Linked DNA regions of Lonchura striata. The protein of the gene in region 1 interacts with the protein of each later gene in a pairwise test. Links are inferred from orthologs where the notes say so. Each region holds a gene or a part of one and is shown on either strand. Other genes may lie near its edges.

Region 1 (15,670 bases):
AGGTGGTCATGTAACACTTAGAGGGAAGCAGGAGGATGGTAAATAAGTCTACTGAAGAGTACCCACAGCATATTTTCATGTTGGTTGTTTGTTGTGAGCTCTCCTAGAAACCTTTCTCGCCATCTGTCTCAGTTATATCATTTAACCAGTTTGCTGCTTGGTAGAATACAAAGAGTGACATTTCTTTCAGATTTTCTTTACCAGCTTCATGGTCTGTCTACTAGAAGATACAATATATGCATATGTATTTTAATATGCTTCTGCTGTTATTGTTATATCTCTGTATTCCCAAAACAGTGCAACTGCAGAGATGATTAATGCTAAATGTCATAAATATACCTAATGTGGTAATTGTCATTAAAAATCCAGAGTCCATAGGTAGACATCAGGCTGTTTCTAGCTCTCTTCAATGTTTCTGCTTACCCCTCCTCTTGTTGTTGCTTAGAGAAGCTGTGGGTGTTCCATCCCTGACAGATTTAAGGCCAGGTTGGATAGAGCTTTGAGCAAGAGCTGGTCTACTGGGAAGAGTCCCTATCCGTGGCAGGGGGGTTGGGAATAGGTGATCTTTATGGTCCCTTAAATGGTTTTGTGTCCAACCCGAACCATTCCATTATTACTTGATCCTGCCTCTTGGAATTGCCCATCTTGAAGTCTGTTTTCTCTTGGGAAGCATTGGAGAGTGAGTGGCACAGCAGTGGTCACCCCAAACACCTCACATATAACGGGAAGATATCTGCAGTGGCCAGCACTTCTTAAACTGTACAGCAGTGGTTTTACAAACAGTGATTTCTTTTGGTGTAATAGCACCTTAGGGCTTGTCTGCAGAGCCATATCATCCCTATTTTCAGAGATGAGTTTGATAAGAAGGTGGCAGCCTTCTTATCAAGTCTGAGGAAGCTCTGCAAGCAGCAAAACTGGCCTATGGAATATTTGGCCTACAAATCAAAATACATGGGAAAAAATGACAATTGAAGTAGGGATGTTACATACCAGTACTACTGACAGTAGCATTTGCTTTTCCTAAGCTGTAATGCCATCTAACTCATCACAATCTCTTAACAAGGCTGAGATTAGAAAGTTTTAGATTTGTTTCATTTTGATAAGGTGTCATCCTTTTATTAAAAGAGTGCTGTTTCTCGGTTTATATTTTTCCTCAGGAAATTAGGTCAGGTTGGCATAGCACAGCTGAAGGTAAGAGTAAAAGCCACTGCAGCAGATGTTTCATTATCATTTGGGGGATTTGTGTTTGGGTTTGGGGGAAGCAAGTCTTTCTTTTTTTAAATAGGGTAAAAATAGGGTAATGAAAATCCTTTCCAATTTTGGCTTGTTGCTAACAATGCTGCTGCTGATGATGATCTTTATATTTTTGCTTATTTTATTTCTTAAAGGAGTTCTAAGTAGGTCACAGGCTTTTAAACAACCCTTCTAGAAAAAGTTGTGCTGTGTAGTCATTTGTAGTTTTGGTTTTTTTTTAATGATTGTAATTCATGTGATGCACCCCTTCTCATACAATAGAGTAATATTCATCCACCTTGCTATTCATGAAATAAAATGTAAGGGTAGGGAAATCTGGTCTCTACAACTAGGAGATCTGCAAAGATGAGAAATTACATATTTTTTCATTAAGATCTTAAAGATTACTGTCAGAATCAGCATTCCCTATTGAAGTTCTGTTACTTCTTGTTAGTGGCAAGACTGTTTTGATTGGTGACCTCCAGGCACTTCACTCACCCTTGTATAACGCAGGTATCATTTCTTATAACAACTGTTTTCCCTGGGAAAGATTTCAGTCCCAAAGGCAGGCTTGTGTCACTTCCAGGCAGGTGTGTCCCTGCCAGGTAGTGTCAGTGTATGGCTGAGATGCTGCTTTCCTTGGGGCACTTCTGCCCAGCTGTGCAGATGCTGTTCTAGCAGAGATGGTTCCAAAGTGCTTCTCTGATGCTGCTCCCTACTGGTATCCAAAGGGGGCCTGGTGGGAAGCTGGAGAGGGACTCTTCATCAGGAACTGTAGTGATAGGACAAGGAGTAATGTGTACAAACTGAAAGATGGGAAACTTATTATAGACATTAGGAAGAAATTCTTCACTGTGTGGGTGGTGAGGCACTGGAGCAGGCTGCTCAGAGAAATTATTCATGCCTCAGCCCTGGAAGTTTTCACAGCCAGATTGGATGGGGCATTGAGCAAGCCGGTCTAGTGAGAGGTGCCCCTGACCATGGCATTTGAGTTGGAACCAGATGATCCTTAAGGTTCCTTCCAACCCTTAAAATTCTATGACTCTATGATTTGCACAACAGGGATGAACTCACTAGTGGAAGTCTCAGATCAGGACGTCAGTGCATGTCTTAATTTTTAACTTCCACTTTCTCTTTATTTAAACACTTTTTGAAGTATCATTCATGATTCCCTAATCCTGGATTGCAGGTGAGTGTAAAGGCATGAAAGGGTACTTGTCAAAAACAGGCATCTACAAGAGAACTGTTTTGTTGTGATGAGAATGTCCCCATTCCTATTCTAATGCCCATAAAAGAATATTGAGGGTTTGTGGAGAATTTTACCCTCCCTGTTTTGTCATTCAACAGTCATATATTTTCTGTATCACAGAATCACCTTGCAACTGCCCCTGCTGAACCTCACGAGCCTCCTGTCACCCCGCTTCTCCAGTTATGGGGAGGGCTCCCTAGATAACAGCACATCCATGTGGTGTGTCAGCCTCTCCTCCCACTGTGGTGTCACCTGCCAGTTTGCTGTGGGTGCCAGTCTGTCCCATCTAACTCACCAGTCAATTTGAGTAGTCTTTCTCAGATGACCCTTTGTAACAGATGCAATCCTCAAACCTGTTTTCTGGTTCAATAAGGAAAGTACAGCTAAGAATACTGACAGGATTTTACATTGAAAGTTACAACAGTGCACAGCCAAATTATTTCATCACTTCATTTTATTCCATACATTTGACAGGAGTCAGAAAGGAATGAGCTCCGTAATGACACAGGAGAAAACTCTGGCTCTACCAGACTATGTGAAAACCTGTAAAAAATGTGGGTAAGAATTATTTCAGAAAAAAAAAAAAAGGAAGAATTTAGATGACTACACCATTTGAGCTTGTATGGTGTAAACAAAGCACACAGCAATACCAATTAAGGAAAAAATTACAAAATTCCTGAGATACTTGTTCCCCTAGTTAAGCCATAGCTCTTGCCCTTTTTGCTTGTGGTCATGGGGTGTGTAAACACAGTACAATTCAGTACCAGACCAACCTCTAAAATATTTGCTTTGCCTTGACATCCCACCAAAACAGTGTCACTTGTGGACCATGAAGCAGAATATTTGGATTCTTACAGCTGTGTCCTGTTTGGCATATGTCCTGGCTGCTTAAAGGAGGATTTCAACAGTGAGAACTCTGCACTCACTCAGATGCTTCCAGGACCTGACGCTGTATTACTGTCCTGTGCCACAGAGATAAGATAGCTCAGAGTTAATATCTGTGTCTTCTTTCCAGTAGGTTCTTGGTTTGCCTTGATCTGTAATATATGCCCCTAGTTTCTATTGCTTCTGTAGCCATTTTTAGAAAAGCAAATATTACAGAACTCTTAATGTATGTAAATGCATGAGACAAAAATAGAAATAGAGAAAATTGTCAGCAAATTCATGTAAATAAGGCAAATAGCATTAGAAGATAAAAGAATGCACTTACATGAAAATGAACAAGTGCCTAGGGCAACTTGCAAGGGTGTCCTCATCATAAGATATCAAATTGTTTTTCTTATCCTTCAGTGCTGTTCAAAGGATTTTTTCCCATCTTTTTTTTTTTTTCTTTCTGCCTCTCTAAGAAATAGTTTGTTGTTAAAGAAAAAGATCATGGAGTTCAGTGGTAGATATATTTAGATTAAGAAATATTCCATTAGAATTTCCACAAAGTGAAAGATAGAACACTTTTACCTGTATGTACATATCTACATCCATATGTATATACTAATTCTTTTCTCAGTAGTATGAATGTTTTTGGGCTTTTTATTTTTTTATGATGTCAGGAAGATTAACATATATTTATAGAAAACATCAAGATTAATTATTGAAATGTATATTAACCTTCTGGCTCTGCTTTTTAGCTCCAATGGGAAAAAAACCAAAACATTCTTTTCCTGATGGTTCCATATTTATCAGGACTCAACTTCACAACCATGTTCTTACAGCTGTCTTCACTGGAAGTCTTCTAGTGCATTTTATGTGAAATAATTTGACTCTCCAGAAAGTCCCTGTCTGAATTTGTTGTAGCTAAATTCTATCTTAATCTGCTTTAACAGCAGGCTGACTGACTTTTTTGTATTATCATCTCTTTTATCATTCAGTCCATGAGACTGCTGCATCCTCAAATCTGACCCCAGGGACTCCAGTTACAATGTCCTCATGTCCTTGGCAACATCTCTCTGCACCTTCTTGGAATATTCTTAACCTTTAAAATGATAGCTCGTATCCCTGCTAACCAGGTACATAAAAATCAACAGTATTTAGCTTCCAATTGAAAATGTTCCAATTTAAATAATAAAATCATCTTTTCCCAAGGAAGGGCAACATGGCAGTCTTTCCCTGTGCCTAGGACTGGAGTTAGCAGCTGGAATGCTGGAGTCAGCATTTCATTCCACGAGAGTGAATAACATCAGATCTCCAGAGATTTCTTAGCTGACCTTCAAAACACAAAGTCTAGCTTCCAGCAAACTTAAAGTAAACATATTTCTCTAGAGATTAGGATCAAAGCACAAGAAAAACATTCTACTTCACTGTGTGGCGCTCGTACCATTACTTATTTATTGGAGCATGGATAAGTGGTGCTGGGAGTGATGAGATTTACCTTTTTTGTTGCATTTTCTAATGGTAAAAGTAGTTCTCAAAGGTTACCCATATTTTTGCCAAAAGGTTTTCAAAAAAATCTTCATTCTTTTGCATACCATTGCTGCTTCATTCCCAAACATGGTCTTTTATGATGATTCATGGTCAAACTGAAGATTTTCTGAAGAAAAGTCTTGGGCACCTTGAGCATTTTACTAGAGAAGCAGCCCAAGGACACCCTCAGGCTTTGACTCTGTTCTTGGGGTATTTTATTAAAGTTCTCAAGCAACAGCTCTCATCTGTACAACAGGATTAATAATACTTTGTTCTTATATCCATATAGGGGTTTAAGAGAATAATCACGTTGCAAATTCAGTAGTTCTGGAGTATTACAGTAGTGGGTCTTGTTTGTGCACACAGCCTGTGCTTCCTGGAACAGACTGACTTTCTGGGGGAGAAAAAGCATTAATCAAGATAGCCACGTTTTAAAGAAAATTATTTGGAATGCAGAGGTTTTGATAACTTAGAAAACCTGATTGACATTTATTAGGATAAAAAAACAGAGATGTTTCTACAGACATGGGAAGCTATTTGTTGGTGAGCTTTGTGTAACAAAAATGTGCTATAAGTAACAAAACTTTTATGAATGCCCTGTTTGGATTTTGCTGTTGCCACTTTTAGACTGAGATGAAACTCTGTCAGGAAGCAGGAGTACTGATCCAGCACGGAGGGGATCAGAAAGGTGGTTCACTTGGGGTTATCCTCCAAGGCAGTTCATAACTTTAATTCCCACTAAAAAAAATGAAAATCCTCTGAAACCCAGTTTTCAAGCCTTTTCTGTGACCTTAACTATGGAGTTAACCATAAACACTCCTTGATTGTGTCCTTAGACACCAATTCATACTTCTTCCCCAATAAAGAGCAAAATGGGCAAAACTTAACCTTGACTTTGGTCATGACTGTGATTGTGTATTAAATGAACTGAGCTCTGCCTGGTTTTATATGTCATGTTCTGTAAATGTACAAGCTGATGGATGTAATTTTCTTATATAAATGGGTTTATTTGTTACACATTCAAATCTGTTTGATCTTAAGGAAATGGAAGTCCTGATTCAAGCCCTGTTATATTATTTTTCCAAGGATATCACATAAAACACATCAGAAATATTTTTAAGAAAGCATGTTTCCCACTGATCTGGGTTCCAGATTATTTCCTTACTACACACTGTCTTGGCTGACACAAATATTAAGGGCAGTAAGAAATACCATATATCAATTCAACCCCAAAGATTTTCAATTTATAGGAACAACAAGCTTTCTAGCCAAGTCATTACTTTTGGTCTGAAATTAGTATGACAGCCGCTCTCCCTGCCCCCTTTTCACTTTTTTACTACTACATCTCCCAGAACAGATTCATAAATGCCTGGCCTTATGCGTTGGTGCTAGGGGAAACCTGCAGTAATTGCTTTTTTCTCACAGCTCAAACAACCATTTTGGTTTAGAGCTTACCAAAGCAGAAACCCAGGAAAATATTTTATGCCTTTTTAAAGCTCAACTGTAGGTATGGTTCAGGCCATCAGTGAGTGCATAAAAACAAAGTGTGAGGTTGCAACTCTAAGTGGGCTAGATGTAGGCTTTGTCATGGATAAGAACTCCCTCAAATTTTCTCTATGTTCTTATATTGTCTTCTGCATGTTCTACTTTATTCTCAGGCTCTGCATCTGGTTAAGAGAAACTAATTTGCCCTGTTATTCAAAGTGCAAAAATTTCAGCTGCCCAAAGTCACTGACACATAAATATTTTAGACCTTCTCCAGTTGTTTTCAACTCCTCTAAAATTAATGATTGCTGGTGCTGGCTGCAGATACACTCATTGAGTTTAATGAAGAGTGCAACCCAATGAGCCCAGCAGATGTTTTCGGTGTTGCTTCACTATGAACTTTCTGGTTTCTTCTTCCTTCATTTCCAAGAATCAAGACCCAATTTTAGCAAAGAGATGATGATCCAACCAGCAATAAGAAGACTGAAATAGGGCTTAAAATCCACAATTCTTAAAACATCTATTATTGCAGATCTATAAGCAGCTGAGGTTTGGATGTTTGTCCAAGCCTCTTAAGCCTGAAAAACTGAAGGATGGGAAATTCATACAACTGATTCTCAATAGATTTGTGGTATTTCCTGCACTTGTCTGGCACAGAAATATAAACTATTTCACATTATTTTGGTACTGCCAATGTGGAATCCAATATAGAAATAAAGAAAAATGTAAGAAAAACAATCTTTTCCAATAACAACAAGGAAAACTTTCTTTGAGTTCTGATTTTGTTTGACTTGCTATTTAGTTTATTTTTCTTTATATTTTACTCTTTTACTCTCCGGGAATATTTGTGTGACTTTAAAATGTCGCCAAATATTAGCAGCACAGTTGGAATAATGCAAAAAACAGTCATATATCCTGGAGCCCCTTGTCTTCCTTCCATTGGGTCAGGTAGATGTGGGGGTATTTTGAAAAGAAAGGAACGAGTAGAAGGACACGAGTATCAAGAGCAAGTCAGGAACACACTACAAAGTGCCTGCCTCTTCTCTTTGGCCTTTTAACTCTGCAGTTGGTTTCATTTCTGAATTATTGCTTCTATCTCCATTACCCAATTTCTGGATGAAGTATATCTCAGGATCCAGTACATAATGCTCATAATGCCAGTAGTTTTATGTAGGGAATGTGAAGTTGGCTTCATTTTCAGGTGTCTGGCCTGAAACAGCGTTAGAATAAGCTGAAGCAGCCCTCTTGCTCCTCATCATGTAAGTGATACAATTCACAGTATATGTTGTTAAAGGCTACCATTTTGTTGTTGAACAAGCCAGCATTAAGAAATCCAGGGCACTGCAAATGACCAGGAAATGCCTGTCTTTCACAGGTAATGCAGCATTACTTAGTATTTGAGCAAGCATTATGCACTGAATTACACGACTTTTCCATCTTTTGCAGATCACGTGGAGGGTCCCAGCAGGATGACCAGCAGCCACACAGATTGTCATTTCTGCCTGCAGTCCCTCCGTGGCAGGAAATATGCACTAAGAGAAGAAAATGCTTACTGTGTTCCGTGCTATGACAGCCTGTATGCCAACCCCTGCCAGGAGTGCAAGCAGCTCATTGAGTGCAACTCCAAGGTAAAGATTTGGCTTGAACTTTTTGTTCCTTGTTAAATTATACACAAATCAAATTTCTTTAATGGTAGATTTGATATCCACCCCTTTTCATATCCCTGTATTGCTGAAGAGACCTAGCCATAGCTGTTGTACATCCACACACAGCAGTGAAACAGTGCTATTTTCCATGAAAAAGGAAAGCTCTGGGATCAAAGATGAGGAAATCTGCACATGCATATGCCCCAGGTTTACAGCAAGGCTGTGGTGGGTGTGTGGACCTCAGCTAAGCTCCATCCTTCACCTCCAGTCACTCATTGGCTGCAGGGGCTGCACAGTGCTGGAGGGGTGATAGGGTGGATGGTGCAATTCAGTGTATCAGGTTGATTGACACCTCAGAATTTCTGAGACATGTTCATTGAATAAATGTTTTGAGCATTGAATAAATTACTTTTACTGTAGGTGTTGACAAGCAGATGCCAAGCTTAGAAGACAACGTTTATAATTTGCATATTCTCTCTCTCTCTTTTGGAAATAAAGTATTTTTTAATTTCTGCTAAATTCCATGCTTACCTTGCTCATCTCACAGATGGTATATTAGTGGCAGTGTTTCTGCTGCCTGTCTTTCACCTCTCAGTTTTTTACAATATTAATTAATAATTCAAGCTCTTCTGTGGTTTTTGACAGGGTTTCTAGTACCCCATACTTCAATATAGAGGACATACACTTGACATTGAATTTTAAGGTCAAATGAAACCTATCAAAAATCATTTATTTTGCCAAGTTCAGTGTGTACTGGTCACCTTCTCCCCATGCTTTCTTTGCCTATGTTCCTTAGAAATAAAAGGACAGAAATATATTAAAATAAACATATTGGAAGGCTTTCCCAGCCCAAGCACTTCAAAGCACATAGTCTACATCCAGGAATCATCTAAGGAAAATGCTGATTTGGTTGAAGACACTCCTCAAACTCTCATCAGCATTTCACCCACAGCAACACTGTACACGTAGCAGCAGTCAGATTCACCAGGAGAACACATGCTTTGAGTTCACTTAATTTCATCTTTAAAATTAAAAATTAAATAAGTGACAGGATTACTCTTGTTGAGGATCATAAACAAAAAGCCATGTCTTTGGACTGAATGGAAGGGAAAAATGAGAGGAAAAAGCAGACGTGTAAGAAAGGAGTGCACCTGGCTAGAGACATCTAGAAAAGTGGCACACAGAGATCTACAGCTGATTGTCTCACCTCTGCCAAGGGGTTAGAGCTTGGTTTTCTTCCTCTCCTCCTCACTCAGTCTTTGCCTCAGGCTGCTCTGGGCTGACAGCCGAGTTCCTGCAAGGTTCAGAGTGCTAACGAAAGCAAATGCAACTGGTAAATGCTCAGCACCTCCTGAAGTGAAGCATGGTATTTCTTTTATTTTTAGCTCTTTAAAAGGCAGGGACATGATCAAGGAGAACAATGAGATTGGATTTGTGCCCTTTCATGTTTCTTACTTATAAAAGAGTCCTGGAAGGGTTTGTTTTTTAAGCTGGGAGGGTTTTTTGGAGGTGCATTTTTCCCTGTCTTTTCTAACGGTGGGGAAATTAAATCTGCTGTTTGGTCTTTTTTTTTTTTTTTTTGAGTTCTTAGTCAGGATCTCATATATATACTGTTAGCTCTTTCATCCCTTAAGCCCACTGACTCTTAAACAAACATTTTTCTGCCAAGTTTTCAGGGGGATTTATATCAGATGTATCAGATATATCAAAAGGAATTTTTTTTAATCTTGCTAATAATTATTTTGTTCTCAATAAGATTTTAATTGCTTGATTTCTGACATAACAGCATTCTGTCATGTCAGCTGGAAGTAGTAACACTGAAAATATTAATTTCAAATTCTATAGAATATGGACTTCCTCTCCAGTGGTCTGTGCACATTAAAAATGTTGATCACTCGTTTCCCCTTAAAAGACAACTGTAATATATAATGTTGTTTTTCCAATACAAACATACCTCTGTGTTACATAAGGAAGGACATTCTGTCAAAGAAGCTCCTAATGGCATCTGCAAGAGATCCACACAACAATGTGACACTGAGTACCTGCCTCTTCCCTGAGCACACTTCTGGCTGGGTCCGCCCCTGCGATGCTCTTCCTTTCTTGTTTTAGTTCTGGAAGGAATTGAAGGATAAAACCACTGTAAATAAATATTCTCACTAACATGGACTTACTTTCTCCAAGGATCTGGCCTACAAAGGCCGCCACTGGCATGAGGGGTGCTTCAGGTGTGCCAAGTGCAGTCGCTCACTCGTGGAGAAACCCTTTGCTGCCAAGGACGAGGTCTTGCTGTGCACCGAGTGCTACTCTGATGAGTACTCATCCAAGTGTTTTCACTGCCAGAAGACCATTATGCCTGGTAAGACAACAGGGGCCCTTTGCTGAGAAATGGAACCACATTTTTAATGATAACCACCTCCTGGAATAACCAAGTTACAAGACCCTTGACTTTCAGAACAGCTTGGAGGAGACTACTCTTCCTTTGTGTGGAATTCTCCCAGCAGTGGGGAGAAGGCAGGCAGACACTTCTGATCACTAACAGGTCTTATGAATCCTTTTAAAAATATTAAGAGTTCAATGCAGGGTAAAATGTGTCCATGTGATGTCCTTGATTCTGTTGCAGTTCTTAGGAAGCATATCCCACTGTGAGCATAAGCAGACAAACAGAGCTATTGTGAGCAGAAGTGCCAGATTAGATAAATCATCTGCATGTTTCCCACATTGACCAGACCCTGTGTTTGTGTTCTTTATCCTAGTGCTTTCACTCAGAAATATTTTTTTGTTTAAATTGTCAAAACATGACAATTTGCTTTCAGATCATTAGCAGCATTTTTACTAAAATGAATACAAGTCCATTTTACAATATTGTCCATGTTTGCAATAGGCTTACTTCCTGTCATTAGCAATCTTGAAAATTCTGCACATTCCACTAAACTGCTTCTCAGCTTCTGATTGTGTCTGTTCAGGACATGCTCTAGACTTTTCATTGTTACCACATCAGTAAAGCTCATGAAGCAGAGTGACTACACAAAAGCTGCCTCTTCACAGGCACCTGAGAGAAGCCACAGCACCATTTGTTGCAAAAAGAAGCTGATTGCTTAGGAAAGTGTGTCCATAACGTTTGAAACAGAGAACATTGGTAAATTTTGCAGTTAGAATTTTATTTTTCAGTATTTCTTAATGCTGAACAGTAAGATTCAGGCTGTGCAAAATTATAGTTTTACTACTGGTACTAGATTACTCAGGTTGTATACAATCTGTAACACTAGTTTGTATTTTTACAGTTTGTTTCTTTTTCATTACAAGTAAAACCTGCATTAGTGGAAACAAATATTTTAACAATATAATTGTGTTCATTTTAAGCATTATAAACTACTTGAATAGTATATGGTTTACAAAAATGTTGTCAAATAGGCATACCCCACTAGATGTGGTCAAAAAGGTGCCAGAATACACTCAGGTTTGTATTATTATCTTCTGGTGTATATCCATGCTTCTTGTTTTGTCACAGAGTCTAAATCCTTGCAGCAAGTGCCTGAAGGTGTGAGAAACAGTGCAACAGTGGCATGGGAATGCCAGCCTGTCTCAGTATCATTAACTTCCTTCTCATCAGTTTGCTAGCTCTGAGTTGTGAAGGACAGTGAAATTGTCCTTCTGATCACTGGGATGAAAGTGTAAACCTTTTGTATCTAAATACAGCCAGTAGTTTCTCCACTGGCCCCACTTTTCAGGAAACAGGTACAGTGGAACTCATCAGTTATAGCAGCAGTCTTCTTCATGTGGAAAGGATGGTAAAGCACCTTGCACCTCTAAGTTCAGTCTGATGCTACTCACAGATAAGAAATTAAGGATGGAGATCCACTGGAAATATTTCTCCCAGATATATGTGCGTAACAGACTTGTGTTTCTATATGAAGATAGGACACCTACATACAGTGATAAAAGCTCTAAAACTCCTCTGACAAACATTTAACTGAGCAACTTTCTGTTCTTGTGCTGTATCAAAAGCATCTAGTTAAATATTATAAAAAGAATTGTTGGTCTAGGACAGAAATGGTGAGCTATAGGAGAAGGCAGTAATGTGCAATAATGTGCAGTAATGTGCAGTAATGTGCAGTATCACAGAAAAAAATATTTCTTTTTAGAAAGTTGCCAATTTAAGCTGATTAAGATAAATAATGCATTTATAAGTAAAGGAGCCTTAATTTAAGAAAGAGAGAAGATAGGACAATAATAAATATACTAAACATCCAACAAGTTAATCTCTAATTTATAAAAGTGCTGTGTACTGAACATTATCACTGAGTTGGCTGCTTTAAGAGAAACTGAGTAATTCAAGCATATCACAAAGAAACCCCAAAAGATTCTTATAATAACAGACTCTAAAAATCACAGCTTAGGCAATTCAGCCTATCTTTTGCCAGATGAATATATGGCACTGGATGTGTTCTTGAAATTTCAAGTGCATTCTTCAAAGCACTATTACATTGAAATTTACTGTTTTCTTGGGTAATCCAATGCTGAGGTAGAAGGTTCAAAACCAAGAGCATTCCCAACATTTAAAACTTATATTACAAGGCTATATCTGAGAGGATTGTTCACTGTGGTTTTTTTCAGGTTCACGTAAAATGGAATTTAAGGGAAGTTCCTGGCATGAATCCTGTTTTGTTTGCCAGTATTGTCAGCAACCATTGGGAACAAAACCATTAATCACCAAAGACAATGAGAATTACTGTGTGCCCTGTTTTGAGAAGCAATTTGCTCACCATTGCTATGCTTGCAAAAAGGTAATTAAACACGCAATACAAAAAATGCCCTAATGAGGCAATATTGCTCATGGGAGAAAGGGCCGGATTATGTGAAATATGTGGTGAACTAAGAGTAATATCGGAATCTTCCCATTGACACTGGACACTGAAAGGCAACTGTGACAGTGTCTGCTGTTCACTCTTGTTAATCTAAGATCGATTATATCTGCCAAAACAAATGCTTTGGGCTATTGATTATTAGTTATTGATTGTGACTTTTAGAAAAGATTAAATGGAAAGTTATACATAACCCTTCTTTCTTGAAAATACCTGATTTTGCCTTTGTAAACATGCCTCTCTTTCCATAATTTTTCAGATTTATTCATATGCATAATTAGCCACCTCAAATGAGCAAATCATCCACAATCTTGACTATTTTTTCTTGAAATATATCAGGCAATTAGCAGATCAAGTAACATTCAATTGTGATAACACTAATCAGGAGTTCCACTGATGCAATATGTGATGATACCTTTATGGGCACCAGAAAACTTGATTTGATTTCTTTATTCTCCCAAGTACAGATAAATCAGTTCTTCCCTCCCTTGACTTCTCATGTTTTAAGATTGCCTGTTGTTGATGAAAAGCATCATACTATTCAAGTGTGATACTTTTCTCTAGAGAAATGTTTTAAGCTGTTTTTAGGGCAGAATTTTATTTATTCTTTAGTACCTGCATTACTCTGGAAGTTATTTTTTTTTCTGCTTCATCAAATTTCCTATAGTTATGTAATTACCTGCAAACCTTTACCTCTAACAAAATCTTTTAATTTCAGGAAAATATTCTGCCTACTTTTTCTTTCAGTAGTTAAACTTTAGAAAGTACTTTTATATATTCCCATGTATAATTCCTATAATTATAGGAATTATATTCCTATAATTTCCTATAGTTATGTCATGATTACCTGCAAACCTTTACCTCTAACAAAAGCTTTTAATTTCAGGAAAATATCCTGCCTACTTTTTCCTTCAGTAGTTAAACTTTAGAAAGTACTTTTATATATTCCCATGTCTCTACATCCAGGCTTTAACTTGCATTAAATGAACACATGGCAATTATAGTAATTATGCTTGATGTTTATTACAGGCATTGATGTTAGCACTTCCTACATGAAATAATCAGGATTTGCTTCTTATAATTTCTAGGAATACAAATAGTCCCTCTACATAACAGCTAAAACCATTTTTTTTCTGAAACTTGCATCTATTCCCATACATGAGAATTGAGCCCAAATAGATTAAATTGCCAAAATGAATCTTGAATTTTTGTCAGTGATTTTTAGATTTTAATGGAAAAGTAAAGGTAACCACAAAATAGCCCAAAACTGGAACGTTAAAGGGATTGGAAACTGTTTAAATCTCTTTATTGCTTGATCCTATATTATTCTTGATTTTCCTGAAACTGTATTCCCCAGGGAAATTTGATGATACCACTATTTTTACTTAAGTTTCTTCAATTTCTTTCTCCTATTTCAACAGTATTCATTCATTCATTCATTCACTCATTAATTAATTTCCTGTCATGCATGTGACTTGATAGTAGAAACACTATCTTACAGCTCACCTTTATAGAAATTTCTCTGTAGTCTCTCACAAATTCTGTGAAACCAGCTCTTTACCACACATATGGGAGCCACAGAACAACTGGAAATTTCCCTCTTCAGAAATAACCAGTGCAGAGCTGTAAGTGTGTTGCTGGAAAACAGAAGTTGATGACACTGATAAACATGATTTTTTTCTTCTTCTGACTGTGTAGATCTCTGTTCTATTTTACTTCTGTTTCCTTACTGTCTTTCTTCCTATTTAAAATACTGTTGCACTTGAGAGACAGAAAAATACTGGTGGGAGATTAACTATTATCTCAGCATCAGTTCTCTTACCCACTATCATTGAGAATTTATTTTCTCAGAGCATGCCTGATTCTAATCTAATCTAATCTAATCTTATCTACAGTATAATAGAAAAAATTAAAGATAATATATTTATTACAAATTATGAGGTTATACTGAGGTCGAAAATTGAAAATAACAAACAAGTAGCATATGGACTTCAACTGCAGTATAGTTAAATGGATAATCCAGATGAAAAAAGTTAACCACCCTCTCTTCTCTTGTGCATGTTGAAAGAGAGAAAACAAGTGGAAGTACTTATGTCATGATTCACACCATTGTTTCTTTGCTCTGCCCTTCTTTGTCAATACATTAGGTTATAACTTCTGGAGGAGTGACCTACCATGACCAGCCTTGGCATAAAGAATGCTTTGTGTGTGCTGTGTGTAAAACTCAGCTGTCTCGACAAAGATTCATTTCCAAAGATGAGTACCCATACTGTGTAGACTGCTTCAGCAAATTTCATGCCAAGAAGTGTGCTGCTTGCAAGACGCCTATTACAGGTGAATCTCATCTTCTAGAGGGGACCATACAGAAATGAATCATCAGTCTCCTCCCAACAAAGACTTTCACTTTAGGAAAAAAAAACATTAAGATTACTCCCATCATAATGAAAGACTGAAGGAGTTAACTATCAGACTCTCTCTGTGTCACATGTCTTGTATCTTGCTAGGACATACTGATCACACATGCTCCCTAACGGATGAGGAGTTGCTTTATGTGCCCAAAGGAGTTCCTCCGTTTTTTTGAGGTAGTGTTTTCTGTAGTAAAATTCCTCCTTAAGAATATTTTAAAAGGTGCTTTTTTGTTCTTCCCAGGACAGTACACACAAGCCCCTCTGTGATTTCTTCAGTTTTGTTTTTAAATGCAAATTTGATCAAACTGAACACAGATTAACTGCCTGCTGGTAAGACACACCTGTCAAATTAGAAAGCTTGCCAAATGCATCAGAGTTCTATTTCATGAA
Region 2 (15,670 bases), on another chromosome or scaffold:
TGACTTTAGAACCCCTAGTGAAGACTCTTAGGCAACATAACCTAATGTTGAGACAAAGCTGAATTTGCAGAGCTGTGGTTTCCAGGAAAAAAAAAAACAAAACAACCCAAAAGACAAGGGAAAAAGAGCAAATAGTATCTGTCTCTTCTAAAATATGATAAATGGGACATGTCTAGTGTCCATTTCTAACATGTCATTTTGCAAATTAAACTAGGCATCATTCAATTTCCTTGGGTTTTCTTGAGAAATTATTTTATAAAAGGATATATATGTCTCTCAAATGATCCAGTAAAATGCTTATTTCATACTTAATGGAGATGGAAACCTCCTGTAAGGTGCAAAAGTACTAGACAAATAGAATGACAAAAAACAGCTCATAACTTAGCCAGCTGGCAAAATACCATCATCAAAGAAATAAATTAGTTGAGCTAGCATTTGATGAAAGATATATCCTTTTCAGAGAAATATGTTCTTTAGGCATTTATCTGTATCACTGGTAGATTAAGAACTAGCAATTCTTGACATGAAAGAAATACAGAAATTCTCTCATATAAATACATTCCAAATAGCCTGACAATCTTCTGTTATACTCTTCCATTTAGTTATTTTTCACTTGTACTTCTTCCTTCCCTTTATAGCTCCCAGACACCTTTATGTCCATTTATTCAGCAGCTTTTGCTTTTCATTTTATATTCTGCATTCTTGCTCTTCACTGTCATTTACAACCATTTACCACCAACAAAACAACCTGCTCCCCCATCAAAAACAACCTACAGTTGCTAGAAAATCTAGTCTACAGCCATTGTGTTAACCAAATTAAAATTATTTTTTAATATATATTTTTTCACTTAATATTTTGAATAAATATGAACCCTTTGTATATGTTTGCCTTTTACTGCATAATCTGAATGTTTGATGTCACTCACATTTGTGTGAGGTAGTTCCTCAATGTCCTATTAGTGTTGGCCACATTCCTGCACTGGCTTACTCTGCCTTACAGGGTACATCTTTTTCAAGGCACAAGTGTATGTCAACTGTTTGGGATATCCATATTCCTGTGGCACAGTGTACTCACAGTCAACAACAAACTCTTCTTTGTGTGCTTTTTTTAACACAGCCTATTCACAAAACTTTTAACAGTAAAGTTTTATGTATTTAAATTTTAAATACAACTCAAACAGTTATTGGGAAATTTAATATTCATGCTATAAATACAAAATAGTGCTTTATACAAATCTGGTACTTTTCACCTGAAATGTTCAAAGATCTCTACAAAGGACAATAAATTGTAAATGGTTATGAATACTGTGAAGTACTTGTTATATACATGTTATGAGGAAGGTGTTATATAAGTAAAATTTATTGTTCAGCACAGGAAACAAAATTTTCATGTAGTAGATCTAAGTTAGCATTATTTTTTTCTGCTGCAACAAAAATATCATTATGCATATATCTTGAAGTCACCAGTCAATCCTTTAAATATTTCAGATACTTTACATTGTTCCCTAGTAAGAATATTATTTTCCCATTATAATGATTTCTCTCATGAAATGAATATGCAACAAATGAATATGTAGCAATTTATACAATGTCAAGTTATTTGCCAAACGATAAGTTTCTCCCTTGTTTTGTTTGTTCTGGCTCTAGCATGTGGGGGGACCTGACCTAGGACTGGTAGATTAGGAAACAGTCTGAATCCTGTCAGTTCTCCTCATGACTTACAAACACCATACCAGGTATCTAAGTACACATTCACAAATCTTTTTAGCCATTTGTGTTGTTGTTCAAGCAGTGATTAATGAAGTGATCGCAGTTTAGCTGCTAGTGTACTCCGATTTGCTTTGCTAAGTTTTAATGCATCAATAAGCACCTCCTTTCAAACTGCAGAACATACCAGACAGTAGTATATGACTTGGGAAACCTGTTCTGTATTTATAAGTTTCATATTACAAATCCTAAAAAAGTAAAAAAAAAAAAAAAACCAAACAAACAAAACAAACACAAACAAACCATGTTAAAATGGTTAAAATGTTGTATTTCATTTTTGGAGTGTAAAATATTATCACATTACTGCAACTTATTATCCAAAATTAAATCATTACAAACCCAAGAAAATCAAAGTAACAATAATTTAAAAAATGGACCTGGAATACTATTTGATATCCCCTTCACCAATAATAATGTCCAACCCTTCCAAATAAAGAAAGCCTAGTGTTTACATGGCATAAGGCAAACTAGATCTAGCTGAGGTACTGCAAAGCCTCACAGCTGTTAGGCCAGGCTTCTCACTAAGCCAGACCTAGGACTCCTCAAGGCTATTCCTTCCTGTGCTTCTGGCTTATGCAACCCACAAAAGTCAAGGCAGTGCCTTAGCACAGCACTAATTTAGGCAGTATTGATTTTCAGAGGTTCCAGTGATGGCAGTAGCAAATAATAACAATAAAAGGATCATCAATTTGCTCTTGTACTACACGTACTAGTCAGTTTTATTTCCAACTTGACAGTTTAGGAAAGGAGGCATTACAAAATACTTATAATTCTACAGATGTGTAATTAAAAAAAAAAAACTATATACATTCAAAAAAATACTTACAAACCTTTTACCTTTTACAATATTGTTCAATGTTTGCCTTTGGAAGGGTGTGCCATTTCTGTTCCTATTTGTTACCTAATGGAAGTCCATATTTTTCTTGCATTGCTAGGAGTTTAGAAGAGAAAAGAATAGGTAAAATAAATTATTAGTCTTGTATTTTATACTCATTAAAATGTACTTCTTGCCAGATCTGTTCTCTTTCAGACTGATCAGAATTCTGTTGCAGCATGCAGGTATTGTCTACTTCTGACTTTCATCACATTCACAAAATAAATTGTGAAAACAGTGTCTATGTGTTTACTGCACTTTCCTGTGACTACTCTGCAAGTTCTGCACTTGTCCCTCTATTTCCTTGCAGGCAATGAAAGAGTAGAGGTAGGGTTATTCAACGATCAGCTGAAATTGGAGTGGTCCATGAGGAGACTTGTGGTGAAATTATTCATCAGTAAGTATCAGTATTATTTCAAATAGGATACCAGTCTATTTTTTCTGTCAGTTTTACCTCTATTATCTTCAGATGTCTGGATTCTAATTAAAGAGAAATTGACAACTAAGCTAGGTAGCATATCCATTTTGCTGTAGTTGTTTATGCCAAGACAATCCATGAACTTTTTAACAAACTAAATAGGCATTTCATAAGATTAGAGCTGAAATGTACAAAATTCTTTCAATCCCCTTAAAAAATCTATTTAAAAGGTAACTGTGAGATTCATATGTAGAATCAGCTGTCTGAAAATTACAGAGATAGCACTCCTACTGATGTAATGTGCATTGGTGAAATATATATGTTCTCTGCAAAGAGCACCATGTTTCTTTTTGGTTCCAAAAGAAGTTGCTACAACTCCCTGTTCATCTATAACCCTCCCTGGTTAGGGTAGTACTTCTCTCTGTGTGATGGTGCAGTGGGGATCAGACTTAAGAATTGTTCCAGGTTGAAAGAAACTTAATGGCTCTGCCCACTGAAGTTTTAAAAAAAATTAAAAAAAGCAATGGACATTTCGAGATAGAGAGAAAAGATTATTCAGGTGGTCATTCTGACAGCAGCAAAGAGCCTGGATTTCAAGTTTATGTTCTTACATAAACGACGAAAATCACAACAAATCCTGACTTGTTTGGCCTTCTAATGGATTGCTTTTGGTCTCAGCACTTGAAATTAAAAGGGTTCACATCAGGCATTGATCCCAATTTAAAGAGAACTGGTTTTAGTAGAAGTGAGCACTTTCGTGGCACAGGTGGGTCTGGCCTCAGGTAACAAACATGGTACCCCAGCCCTGCTGTGGTAGGAACACAAGTCCCTTTTCATTCTCTTCCTCTTCCAGCCTGACAACTTCGGCGAGCTGCATCAAGAGCCAAATCTGGTTAGTCATCCTTGTATCACCAAGGTCTAAGGCCCTCTGGCAGTTCACTTATGCTTCTGACACACTTAATTACGAGAGAAGTGGTATAAATAGTAATAAATTCTTAGTTAAACATTTCAAAGTGTTTATGGCTTACTTGAAAACTAATAAAAAATAACTGCTCGTCCAAATCCAGGCCCTAAGAGTTCATGGAAATTCTCATTTTGTTTACAGGTAACTCACTCCAGTGGTTTCCATTATTTAACACTTCATTTGAAATTTCTTCCTGTTTGTCTTAAGACTTCTACCTTCAAAAATATTTGCTTCTAATATCATAAGAGCCATTTTTGGCTTTTTGAATACACAAGGCAAAACTGGAATTTCTTCCAAAGGTTTCAGCAGAGTAATTCTCAGTAGTTTAACACTTGTCTGTTCATTTGATTATCTTGCTATTCTAACAAATATTATTAATTGACAAGAGAAAACATATATTTTAATGAATGAGCATAACAATAGTGTACGTAATGGATTAGATCTTAAAGCAGAATTACGGGAAGAGAAACTCCTATTTAAAAACCCAGAACAGACACATAACATATAAACAAAAAACAAGGGAGGGAAACAGAATTCAAAACAGGAAGGGGGTGTTCAATATTTCAACAAAGGAAATGTAGGATAAAAACTGAAAACTTGTACAAGCAATAGTGGTGATTGAAGATTCTGTATTTTTTCCACTAGATTGTGATTTTGATAGCTGTGTTAACTCCTGTGAAGGAAATTAAAGAACTAAATGCTTAAAGGTAAGACCTTTGCAAATAAGTATGAGTCATCTCTTACGAAGTCAGAGATAAGAATTATTTGGTTTTTTTAAAAACACAGGAAACCAATACGCAGGTTCTCTCCGTGCCATGAATAAGACTGAGTGTTTGACCTGCATGGACCTATCACCAATCCTGACACACACATCCTCCAATTCTTTAATCATGAGTTATGTGAAATTAACTTAGGTTTTTCATGTTTATTTAGCACACTGAGTATATTCCTACAGTAAAAAAAAAAATAACCTAAACCATAAAAATAGGTAAATGCATTACATAACTTCAGAATATATGTGCAGTGATGTGTGCAATTTAAAATTAATTGCAGTATAATCCCTTGTAACACTACTTTGTAAAATACTGATCAGCAATAAACATGCGATGTTCAATCACCCATAGTAACAAAGTTTATGGCTTACGCATTTATTGCATTTGAACATTATTAGCCCTGAGCCGACGGGCCCTGCGCTTCCGGCAAAGGACGTGCTCACACCTTCAGCACAAACCCAGCATGACTCAGGGTATTTGGGCGTAATCCCGCGGCAGCGAGCGGGGAAACACGCACGTCGCTCCCGCTTGTTGCCTCTTGGCAACTTCTGATTTACTTAGCCAAATAAATGTAAAAGAACTATGTCATACTATGAATGACTGATGTAAGGACCGTGCTTTTACTAATTACAAAACAACCTGCGGGGAGCATCTCGGCGGGGCGGCCTCTGGGCAGGTTTCCGTGTCCGTCAGGGCTCCGGCACCGCCCAGGGAACAACCGGGGGTTGTGCCTCCTCCCCTCCCTAGGCCAGCGCGGGGACGGCCGGGGCTGGACCCTGCGATGGAGCCCAGCCAACCGCCCTTATCGGCGGGCCCGGCCGGCGCGGGGAGCAGCGGGCACCGCCCCGCTATCGCACGCCCGGAGCGCGGCGCGGGGAGCCGGCGGGCCCGCGGCCGCCGCGGCTGTTACCGGCCGCCCCCGCCCCCGGCGGCGCGGGGCCGCCCCGCCCGCACCGCGGCCCGCCCCGGCCAATGGGCGGCGCCGGCGGGGCCCCGCGGCGGCGGTTGGTCAGCGCCGCGGCCGTTGCGCCCCGCGGCCGCCCGGCACCGCCGCCCGCCCGCGCGCGGCTCCGCCTCCCGCCGTGGCCGCTGGCGCTGGGAGGCCCCGCAGACGCCATTTCCTCGGCGCCCCCGCGGCGGCGCGGCTGCATCAGCGCTGACGTGAGGCCGACGTGCGGCTCCGCCCGGCCCGATCCCCCCCACCCCCTGTGACGGGGGCAGCACGTACAGGGCGGCGGGTGAGTGCGGGAGGGGGCGGGGACACGTGTGCGCGCAGCCCGACCCCCTGCGGGCCGGGAGCGGGGCAGCGCGGAGGGCAGCGGGCGGCGCGGCGGGCAGGGACGGGACGGGACGGGCAGGCGGGGGGCGCTGTGCCGCGCTTGGCGCAGCCCCGCCGCGGGAGCGCGCGGGAGGCGGCGGGGGCGCGTCCCCGCCGGCAGCCGGGGGCGCGCTGCGCTCAGGGACGGCGGCGCAGAGCCCGCACGGCGCTGTGGGGCTGCCCCGGGGCGGCTGCGCGGAGCGCCGGCTCCGGTACCGCCCGGCAGCCGCGGCGCTCGCCGGGCTCCGGCAGGCGGTGGCTCCAGAGCTTGCTCGGGACGCCGGCTCGGCTCGCCCGGCGTTGCGGCTCGGAGCGGGGTCAGCGCCTGCCCGCGGCGGGCAGAGCGCCCCGACCGGCCCGTCCTGGGGTCTGCGCGGGGCTGCCCCGGCCGAGGGCAGCGGCGGTGCCCGGTGGCTTTTGTGCCTTAGTCCGTTACTCGCGGTTATCGCCTTGCCCGTAGAGCGTTCGGAGCTGGGTCAGAACAAGTGGGGAGGGATCACAGTGGGCTTCGTGAGTTCGAAGTCTTGCTTGAAGCTTTTATCTGCATCCCCCACTGCTGTGACAGCATCATTTTTGGTGCTGAGTGCAGCCGCTGTTAAGTGGTTCCAGGGACTGATGCTTGACGGATGCTCTGGCTTACCCCGGCTGGGCCCCTCTGAAGGGGCCGCGTGTCCGCTCGCAGCCGGCTCTGCGCTGCATTGGCAGCGTGGTTGAGGCGGCAGGCGCCGAGTGGCCGAGTAGCATTGCCTGTGCTCAGAGTAATGTTGGGGTTTTAAGATTTTTGGGGAAGAAAATAGGGAAATAAGACTGTAGGAGACACAAGAACCTTAGTGATGAAGCTTCTGTTGATACTGAAAACTTTCAGACCCAGCAGTTTGCAGACAGTGCACTGTGGTGCTGCTGCACATTTTACTTGACTGAATTCTGTGATCACCTTATCAGCTGGTGTTCTTCATGCTACCAGCATGGTAAAACTGTTATTACAGAGTTGATAGAAAACACAGTGCTCTTCTGAAACCAGTGTATTCTGAGAGTTTCCATACTAACTGTGGGGTCAGCAATAAATGCAAAACAGGTGTTTGTACATTCGCATTCTTGATTTCTAGTAACTCCCCTGTGAATAAAGGCCTTCAAAGAGATTTGGAGCAAGGCTGAAACATATTTTTTTAGCCCCTTACGATTGATTTCCTATGTATCAAACCACATTTGTAAATGTAAACAGTCCCTGATGTATAAAGGATGATTGAAATAAAAAAGTTGTTTTTAAAAATGTCTGTGGGTATTTATTCAGACAGTCACACACTTCCAGTTATGCAAAATACTGTAGCAATGTGCTTTTGCAGTATAATTTCACCAATAGACCTTAAATATTATGTTGATATGCAGTGATGTAAAACAAACAGCAGTACAGGGAGGCGTGAAAGGATTTCTTGTGCTCTTTATTGCAAAAGAACATAGCTTGCTAGGGATGCTAGCCTTCATCTCTTACCTATGGGCAAAAATACAAAGAATTCACACCTTTAGCTGTAAATTACTCAAAATTTTCTAGGAAAAATTTTCTCTTTTCCTGTAGCTGATTCCATCTGTCAGATTTCTCCTGTCAGGGGTGGTTCATCTCGCAGTTGAATAAGCTTTTGATGTGTACTGTATGCATCATCTTAATCAGTGTTTATCTGCTACTGATCACTGCCCTGCTGTCCATTAGTCTCAGTGACTACAGTAAAGATGTGCTTAGGTATATTGAAATGTTGCTGGTTTGGTAACAGTTAAACCTCCTGCCAGATCCTGAAGATCTTTTTGCAATGTTGTAGGAAGAAGCAAAGATCTTTGCTTCATTATGGAAAACCATTTTTTCCCCCTTTTTATGTGTGTGCAGAGGTATAACTTATTTATTAATTTAAAAATCTAGACTAGTATTTTAAATTATTGTTCAGTCTTTGTAAGTAACTAAGATTGAAAATGTAAGAAAAAGATGTATTAATAATGAGTATAAGACTAAAACTTGTATATAATTAGTCATACAATGAAGAAAAACATTATAATGTTAAACAGGACCCAAGACCACTTACTTTGAACTATTTGCTTAGTTTTCCTTTAAAAATAGAAGGAAGGTTATGTCAACTTTTAAGTGTGATGTGTACTGCTACTGATAGACTTTTATAAAGGATTTTAGAGGCTTTGCGGAAAATTTGGTTTTTCTTTCTTGGAAACTTAATAGCAATGAATGTGTTAATATCTGCTTACAATGAAGACTGATTGAGTGTGGTATGTGTGGAAACTGTTTTCTGAATTGGATTAGTAACAGTTTCATGCCACAGTCTGTATTACTGACATTTTAGAAACAGCATAATTATAGTATTGCTCGGTATTTTTTCTGTGTATATATTAAAAAGTTTGATGTATTCATGTTGACATGATACATAGTACAGGAAATAAAAACCCTGTACAGTTCAGGTTATCTCTGAAGACAATGACAAGCTCATCTGAAATGCAGGAGTTCCTTGGCTTGGTCTTAAGCTGTGTACAAGCCCATATAAACTGCACAGCTGAGTGTGACTGTGCCACCACTGACCCTGTGGGCTCAAATGACTGCAGCTGACCAGCTCCTGCCAGGCCAGCGATCCCATGGCTGTGTCTGTCAAAGATTCCTGTCTTGTATCATGTCTGAATTGTGACACTAATGTGCTAGTTTGTCTTAAATCATCATTCTCACTGAAGTTTTATGCCAAGATAGCTCATGTATCTTTTAGAATTACTCATATACTTTTTTTTTTTATTTTGTTTTGTTTTTTTTTTTTTTTTTTGTTTTTATTTTAAGGCTGTGATTGGATCTTTATATTTGGATGTTGTTTCAAGTCAAGTCTCTGTTTGGTCACAGAGGTTGTCAAAAAGAAAAGTATTTTGCTATGTTTCACAGTAGTGATTGCATTTTTATGGCAGTCACATTTTCAGACTTTACTCCACCCTGCTAAAGTTCTCAATTAAGCAATCATTTGTATTAGGAGTCAGAATATACACAATTATAGATGGAAAATCTATATAAATTCTGGAGTTTTCCGTGTATATCAAAAATCTTAATTATGTTTTTCACTCCACTGACATGTACAGTTCTTGCTGTTGTTTTTCTAATTAAAGATAAATAATAAAAAAATACCCCTTTCTCTGTACTGCATTCCCCAAAGTACGAGGAATAACTTTGTTAGATTTTCTGCTGCACTGATGTTGTTTTTGTAGCTTTTTGCTAACTTAGTTAATGCAGCACTGCAGATGAAAAGTCTCGGGGAGAAAAATCCTGATAAAGTAGTAGAAATAGATACATTTTTATACTGTTCTGTAATCAGTGAGAAATTAAGCTAAAAATCAGGAACTAAATTTTTTCCAAGATGAAAAATATCACTTTCAGGGTAAAAATTCTATGAAATGCATTCAGTGGGAATAAAAGTACTTGTTTTTTTGTTCTTATTTGGTTTTGGGTGGATTTTTTGTTTTGGTTTTTTTTTTTTTTGTTTTTGGTTTTTTTTTCTGTTTTCTGTGACAGATGGCTCTGGATACAAAAAATAGTTCAGGGCCTTCATAAAGTGAATTAATTCTGGCTATATTCCCATCTTTAGGAAGAGATTACAATGAATATGTTGCCGGTACATAGGCATTATTTATTCTTGGTGTGTGAGCTGTTCTGAAGCGTATTCTTACTAGAACCCCATGGACCTTTCATATTTGAGACTTTTTTTCCCTACTTTATTATTGTTATTATATTGCACATATATAAAACCAGCATAGTTTTATTAGGTAATATCTTATAGAAAATTATGATTAAAAGCTTGGTGAAAAGCTTGGTAAAAACATTTTCCTCAGAGCTGTTAGACTTTGGTGAATTTCAGTAGACATTTCATTAGATTGTATCTAAACAAAAAGGTAATTAGTGGCAACTTGCAAGAGAAAATGTAGAAAGATTTTAGGTGTAAAATAGCTCCATATAATTCTAATCTGAATTGATACTGGCATAGGGTATGTAACTTCTCTGAGCAGAAATACTCACGTTAACCCATAAAATGGTGAATTGTTTTGCAGCTTTGTTACTAATAGCTATAGTACTGTTAAGTCTGGTCAGTAGAGTACCATTTGAGGCATATGAGCTACAAATATGCTTCTTTGCATCATTTTACTGGGTATGTTTTCATATTTTCATGCCTTTATTTTGGGCACAAATTTGATTTCTAAAAAAGTAATAAAAAGTGTTCTCTTCAAAGATTGTGGAATGTTCTGTAAAATAGTGCCACAAAAGGAGTTTGGTTACATTTAATTTCTTTAATGTAGTTAACTTATAACAGGCACTAAATTCCAGAGCCCTCAGAGTGAGGTGGGCAGCAGTGCCTGCCTGCCTCTTGCATCTCTCAGTGCAAGTCCTGAGAAGAAACCAAAGTAATTATCAGCCAGCTGAAATTATTGAACTTTGACCTCAGGCTTGTCATCCCCTAGTTGCAGAACCTGAACCTGGGGAACTGAGATTTGCTGCCTGTTAAATCTCACAACTAATATCATGTCTCCCTTTTGAGGCTGTCAATTGGTTGTGTAAGTAGGGTGTAGGTGGGAGCGTGCCTGCAGGGCATCCTGCCTGCCTCTGCCTGACCCTATCCTGTCTCTCCTCTGTTTGTAAACTGACCTGTTGCCATGGCAATGTTTGACATCACCTGTTCAATGTTGCACCTTCAGTGCAGGGTTTGGTAGGAGAGAAAGGGAGCCGAAGAGATCCAAGCTCTTGTTTTAAATCTCACACCTTCCGTTATGACTAAGTGTGCCAAGAAATATCGAAAAGGAACTGTCAGGTAATTGCATTTTTATATAGCAGATATGTAGCAAATTTGGAAGTTCTTGCTATGAAGTTTAAACTCTTAGTTTACATTGAGGATCAGCAAGTTCTTAGTTTTCAATGCAATCTATCCTACTTTAAACCTGTAAAGTGAGAAGAATTGTTGTGGCTCTTGAGCCATGAGTAGTTTACAGACAATTCAAGTGTAGATGACAACAGGGAGTAGGCATCTTGGAAGTGTAAGAGGGCTGTAGCAGCCCATGAGGCTGAAGGGACCTTCTGTGGGCAGCACTGCATGGGACCCTGGCACTCTGCTTGTCCCTCCCCTGAGAACCATCTCCAGAGCTGCCTCTCCCTACAGCTTTCCAAAATACTTGTTTGAGAGCTCCTGGATATATTTTAGTACAGAGGAATGAAGAAAAGACTTCGTTTTGACAGATACATATTTATTTTCTGTCTGCATTAAATATAAAATAGTTTGGAGTTACTCTCCCTAGCTGCCTGATATACCTCCCTGTACTGAGTTATTTAAATGTGTATGTACTTGCTTTTAGACTGATGACCATGGAAATGGTTGAACAGGATGACAGTGCAGCGGATTCTCTGACAGAGAGACGTGCTGGTCCCCTTCAGAATCAGCCAGGCCAGAATCAGATTTCCTCAGGATCTGAGGTAAGTTGAAATGTGGAAAGATGAGAAGAATCAATGAAGTGATATTCAGAACTGCTATGATTTTTAAACTATAAATCTTTGTGGTATTCTCATGTTTTATCTTGATATTAAATAGGAAAAATAAAGCAAAGATTTACCGGAAACTATGCCTTCAGTAGTTAACAAAGGACTAATATGACATCAGGTCTGTTGAAAGGTAACATTTTTAGGAGCCCTTTCAGACAAGAGTGGTCAGTAAACAAACGGGTTTTTTCATTTTACTTCCACAAGGTGATTTTTAAAAGATGAGCTACAGTCTTTAAGAATTGAGGTGGCTACAAGATCAAACTTCATTCACACAAGACTAAACTTCATTTGTGTATCTAGAAGATGTGTTCTATAACAAAAATGAAAACATGAATAAAAATATCTGTAGTTCTCTTCCTAGTTCCAGTTTTTGTACAGAATGTATTTCATCTAGTTGCAGTTACTCTTTTAATGTGTCCTTGTTTTGTTTCATTCCTGTGTATCCAATGAGAGTGTCTGGACTTCTAAAAGCATACTTTACATGTTTTCTATAGTTGCTCTACCTGGATTATTGTTTGGTAGTGAATGGATAAAAGATTATGTAGTAACAATTCTCAAGCATTAAAAATATGTATTGTAATAGTCAGCACTTGAGAGAAATAGTGTTCCTGACAGTACTAAGATTTATAGCTTCAGAAAAGTGTATGGACCACTTAAAAGGATTTTCAAAAGCCCTTTTTTAAATAAAATAACTGATTTTCAAAAATGTCTTACAGACTTTTTTCATCATTGTAAGTTTGAAGTTACTTGTTAAGACTTGATGCCACATATTTATGTTAGATACTTGATTTACATTATAGATACATTTTTAAAACTGAAGACAGCTGCTCTTTTGTCAGATCTTCAGACAAAAAGTAGACCACAAAATATTTATCAACCTTTTTTTGTTGGTTTTGATGCATGCAGCATTGGGAATATTGTTTGTTTTTTTTTCTTTAAGGAATTTATTTGGTTTGCTCTGTTGGTGTCATCCCCTCATTTCTTCTTTAGTGGTTCTGTTCAAATTTTCATATGATGAATGATGTGTAAAATCTATTGGCTTGTGCAATAGCCTCTGCAGGAGACATCTGTGAATTCTGTCACTTGGGTTTTTTAGAGTTGATCCAGGGACAAAGGTGTCACTAATGCTGTAGGAGAGTTTTTGCACTCCTATATTGTGCAATGTATAACACTTTCTATGTTTGTCTGCATTTAACACTTGAATTCTGTGTGTGAAGGTTCAGCTGTACAGGGAATGGGCCTCACGCCTTCCAGTTAAAATGAGTAACTCTGAAGTATTGATGACTCTCCTTCAATTAACACTGAACCAAGAGGTGTAGCTCAGTTTGAAGGCTGAGTGTTACAGCCTGGAGTGGAGTAGTGGAGTCCCTGTTTGTGTCTGGATGGCTCAGAGAGGCGTCCTGGAGGCGTCCTGGAGCCGTCCTGGAGCCGTCCTGTCCCGCTGCTTGGCGCAGGAGCTGCCGTCCCCTCCCGGGCACGCGGCGCAGCGCTCCGGGCCTGTGCCCATGGCCTCGGCCGCTGGCTCCCAGCCCTGCAGCCCTCATATGCCCTCAGTGCCTTCAGGCTGCTCTGCCACAGCACTTGCTGGGTGGAACTGCCAGACAGAGCACTTACTGCTGACAGGCCTTTTGAGACGCTCCTGTGGCTTACGATGAGTAGGATTTTCTTAGCCTGTGTTCCTGCCTGGCTGGCTTGGAAGGTGAGGCGCTTTGTCATGGAGAGTTGGGCCTGGGTGTTGAGGAGTTAAAGCCCGCTGGAGGCCCTCTAGGAGACATCTGACTGATTTTGTGGTGGTCCAGATGGGAAATTTGTGTGTTTCTGAGGATTTCATGGCTGTGCCTGTGTATTTTGACTGTAACATAGGAGCGCAGATCCCATCTCCCTCTTTGGCCTGTTGAGGAGTGCACAAGAGAAGACAACCACTATAACTGACTGAAACATCTTATGTTAGCTTCCAGTCATCCCTCTTACTATTTCTGTTGCAAATATGCAGAAATAGTAGAAAAGAATGACTTGATTCTTACTGAGAGCAAAAATGCCTGATCACTGAAACTGAGAGCTCCTTTTCAAGTATATCCAAGGGAGTGGGGAGATGGCAGCTTTATTTGTGGTTTTTTTTTTAGCAAAATATTTGTTCAGCCTTGGCTTTGGTCAGTCAGAAGTAAAACGTTTTGATACACTGTGTTTTAATTTGTGGTTTTCTGTGCATTATCAAAGAATGAATTGTAGAAGCATCAAGCTTGGGAGGAACTTTTTAAGATTATCTAGTCTGACCTGCCTGTGCAAGCAGTGTCAGCCAGAAGTCTCTCTGCCTGGAATGTAAATATCCCCAAGGATGGAGTCTCTAGAGCCTCCCTGGCCATCTGTACCAGCAGGTGACTGCCCTTCCAGTAAACATGTGGAGTTTTAATGTCCAGATAGAATGTAATGGTTTTTAATGTGCTTGATATTTAATTGAATTATGACTTTGGCCAGGGACTGACTAGCAAAATGCTGAGAGATACTACACAGGAGATGGGCACTTTTTTCTTCTTCCTGGGGGGTAGCTGACTTATTTTCCCCTCCTCTGTAGGCTTTTTAAAGAAATACCTGCCATTTAGTTTTAAAAGGCTGGACCAGGTACTTCATAAGATGATAATCTTTAGAGAGCAGAGATTGTTTTGTGCTGAAGCATTTTTAATGTATCCCCTACTGGGAGAGAGAGGAGACATTAAGAACGTGTGGGCTGGAGACTATGGTGTGATGGGATGACCTCCAATGCTAAGAAGGATGTATTATACATTATTTGTAGAGGAAAAAATAGCGTTTGCATTTTTTTCTTAGTTTGGGTCATAGATATTGCTGTATTCTCCTGCATTTTTTTTTGCTGCTGAAAGTAAAATTACTTGTTCTACTAAAGCAAAAATGAGTAAGTTTGAAACTAGTGAAGATGAGATGCACTTTTTGTCCATTAAATGCTTATTTTTTAAGTAAAATGTCCTACTATAGAATCAGTTTATAGTTGCATTTCTTGCATCTGTCGCTGTTAGCCAGTTGATTAATTGACATGGTAATATTGTTGTGATCCAGCTACCAGAATAAATAGGTAAGAAAGTAAAATCATTTGTGGCTGTCTTTAGAAGCTGTTGAAAATGTGCTGAACACCTGTACAAAAGCTTGATGCCTTTGAGGGAAGAGCAGAGGTGTGAGATGGAAAATTTCTTAACCAGTTTTGAGATGAGCTCCATGAGTTGTCTCAATTGCACAGATCATTTGTTCCTACATATAGAGCTGTACTTACGAAGAAGTTAACTTGTATTGGAATATTTTGATAGTGTTGATGATAGTCAAACTTACGTCTCCGAAGACTTAAATCTGCAATTGTATTCAAAGAGAAATTAGATGTTCCTTTTGCAGGTTTTCTAGAAGCCATGCTGCATTCTGTGTTGCTGCTCTGTGCTCAGATACACTGAATGTAACTGTAACAATGCAAGATCAATGTGCTTTATCCCTTCTCAGATTTGATAAAAACACTTTTAGTTGTCTTTTCTTTTTTCTTCAATCTGCATCTTGATGGGCTCCTCTTTGATTCACTTTTTGTTAATGTTGTCATGTTGTCTATCGTTAGGGCTGTCTGCTGACCTTGTCTGAGATACCGTCTGTTGACCTCTTGCTGCTGGCCTTGAATAGACCTATGTCAGGATTTACAATGTGAGAACTGCTGTCACAGAGCATAGGGAGATTTTCAGTGAGATTTTCAGAGCCTGGAGTGCATAGCTATTGCAAGCTGGGACCATTCAAGTTCAGTAATTTGGGGTGTTGTCCTTGTGGGCTCTTGACATCAGTGTTAAATGTTGCTCTCTAGAGATTGAGACTTATGGGAGTTTGATAGGCTGTTTTAAGTAAGGCTCTAAAATCAGCCTGCCACATGCAAATGCTGGCAATTTAGCAAAGTTGGTGTTCGAGGATTTTAAGTGTCCAGCTGTGTCACTATTTTGTGCTTCCTTGAAGCGTATGGTGGCATCAAAT

What was found.
Region 2: the proteins of FHL5 (region 1) and CREM interact in a two-hybrid assay, tested with the Homo sapiens proteins (2 studies listed by BioGRID). The link is inferred for Lonchura striata from reciprocal best matches to the Homo sapiens genes FHL5 and CREM.

The regions. Positions count from the first base shown.
Region 1 is NC_134605.1:75,229,944-75,245,613, reverse strand, and holds the start of FHL5 (four and a half LIM domains protein 5), read left to right. Parts: upstream 1-7,821; 5' UTR 7,822-7,833; coding exon 7,834-7,992; intron 7,993-10,191; coding exon 10,192-10,366; intron 10,367-12,624; coding exon 12,625-12,794; intron 12,795-15,019; coding exon 15,020-15,206; intron 15,207-15,670. UniProt on the Homo sapiens protein: May be involved in the regulation of spermatogenesis. Stimulates CREM transcriptional activity in a phosphorylation-independent manner.
Region 2 is NC_134603.1:143,821,219-143,836,888, forward strand, and holds the start of CREM (cAMP-responsive element modulator), read left to right. Parts: upstream 1-5,857; 5' UTR 5,858-6,034; intron 6,035-11,478; 5' UTR 11,479-11,482; coding exon 11,483-11,596; intron 11,597-15,670.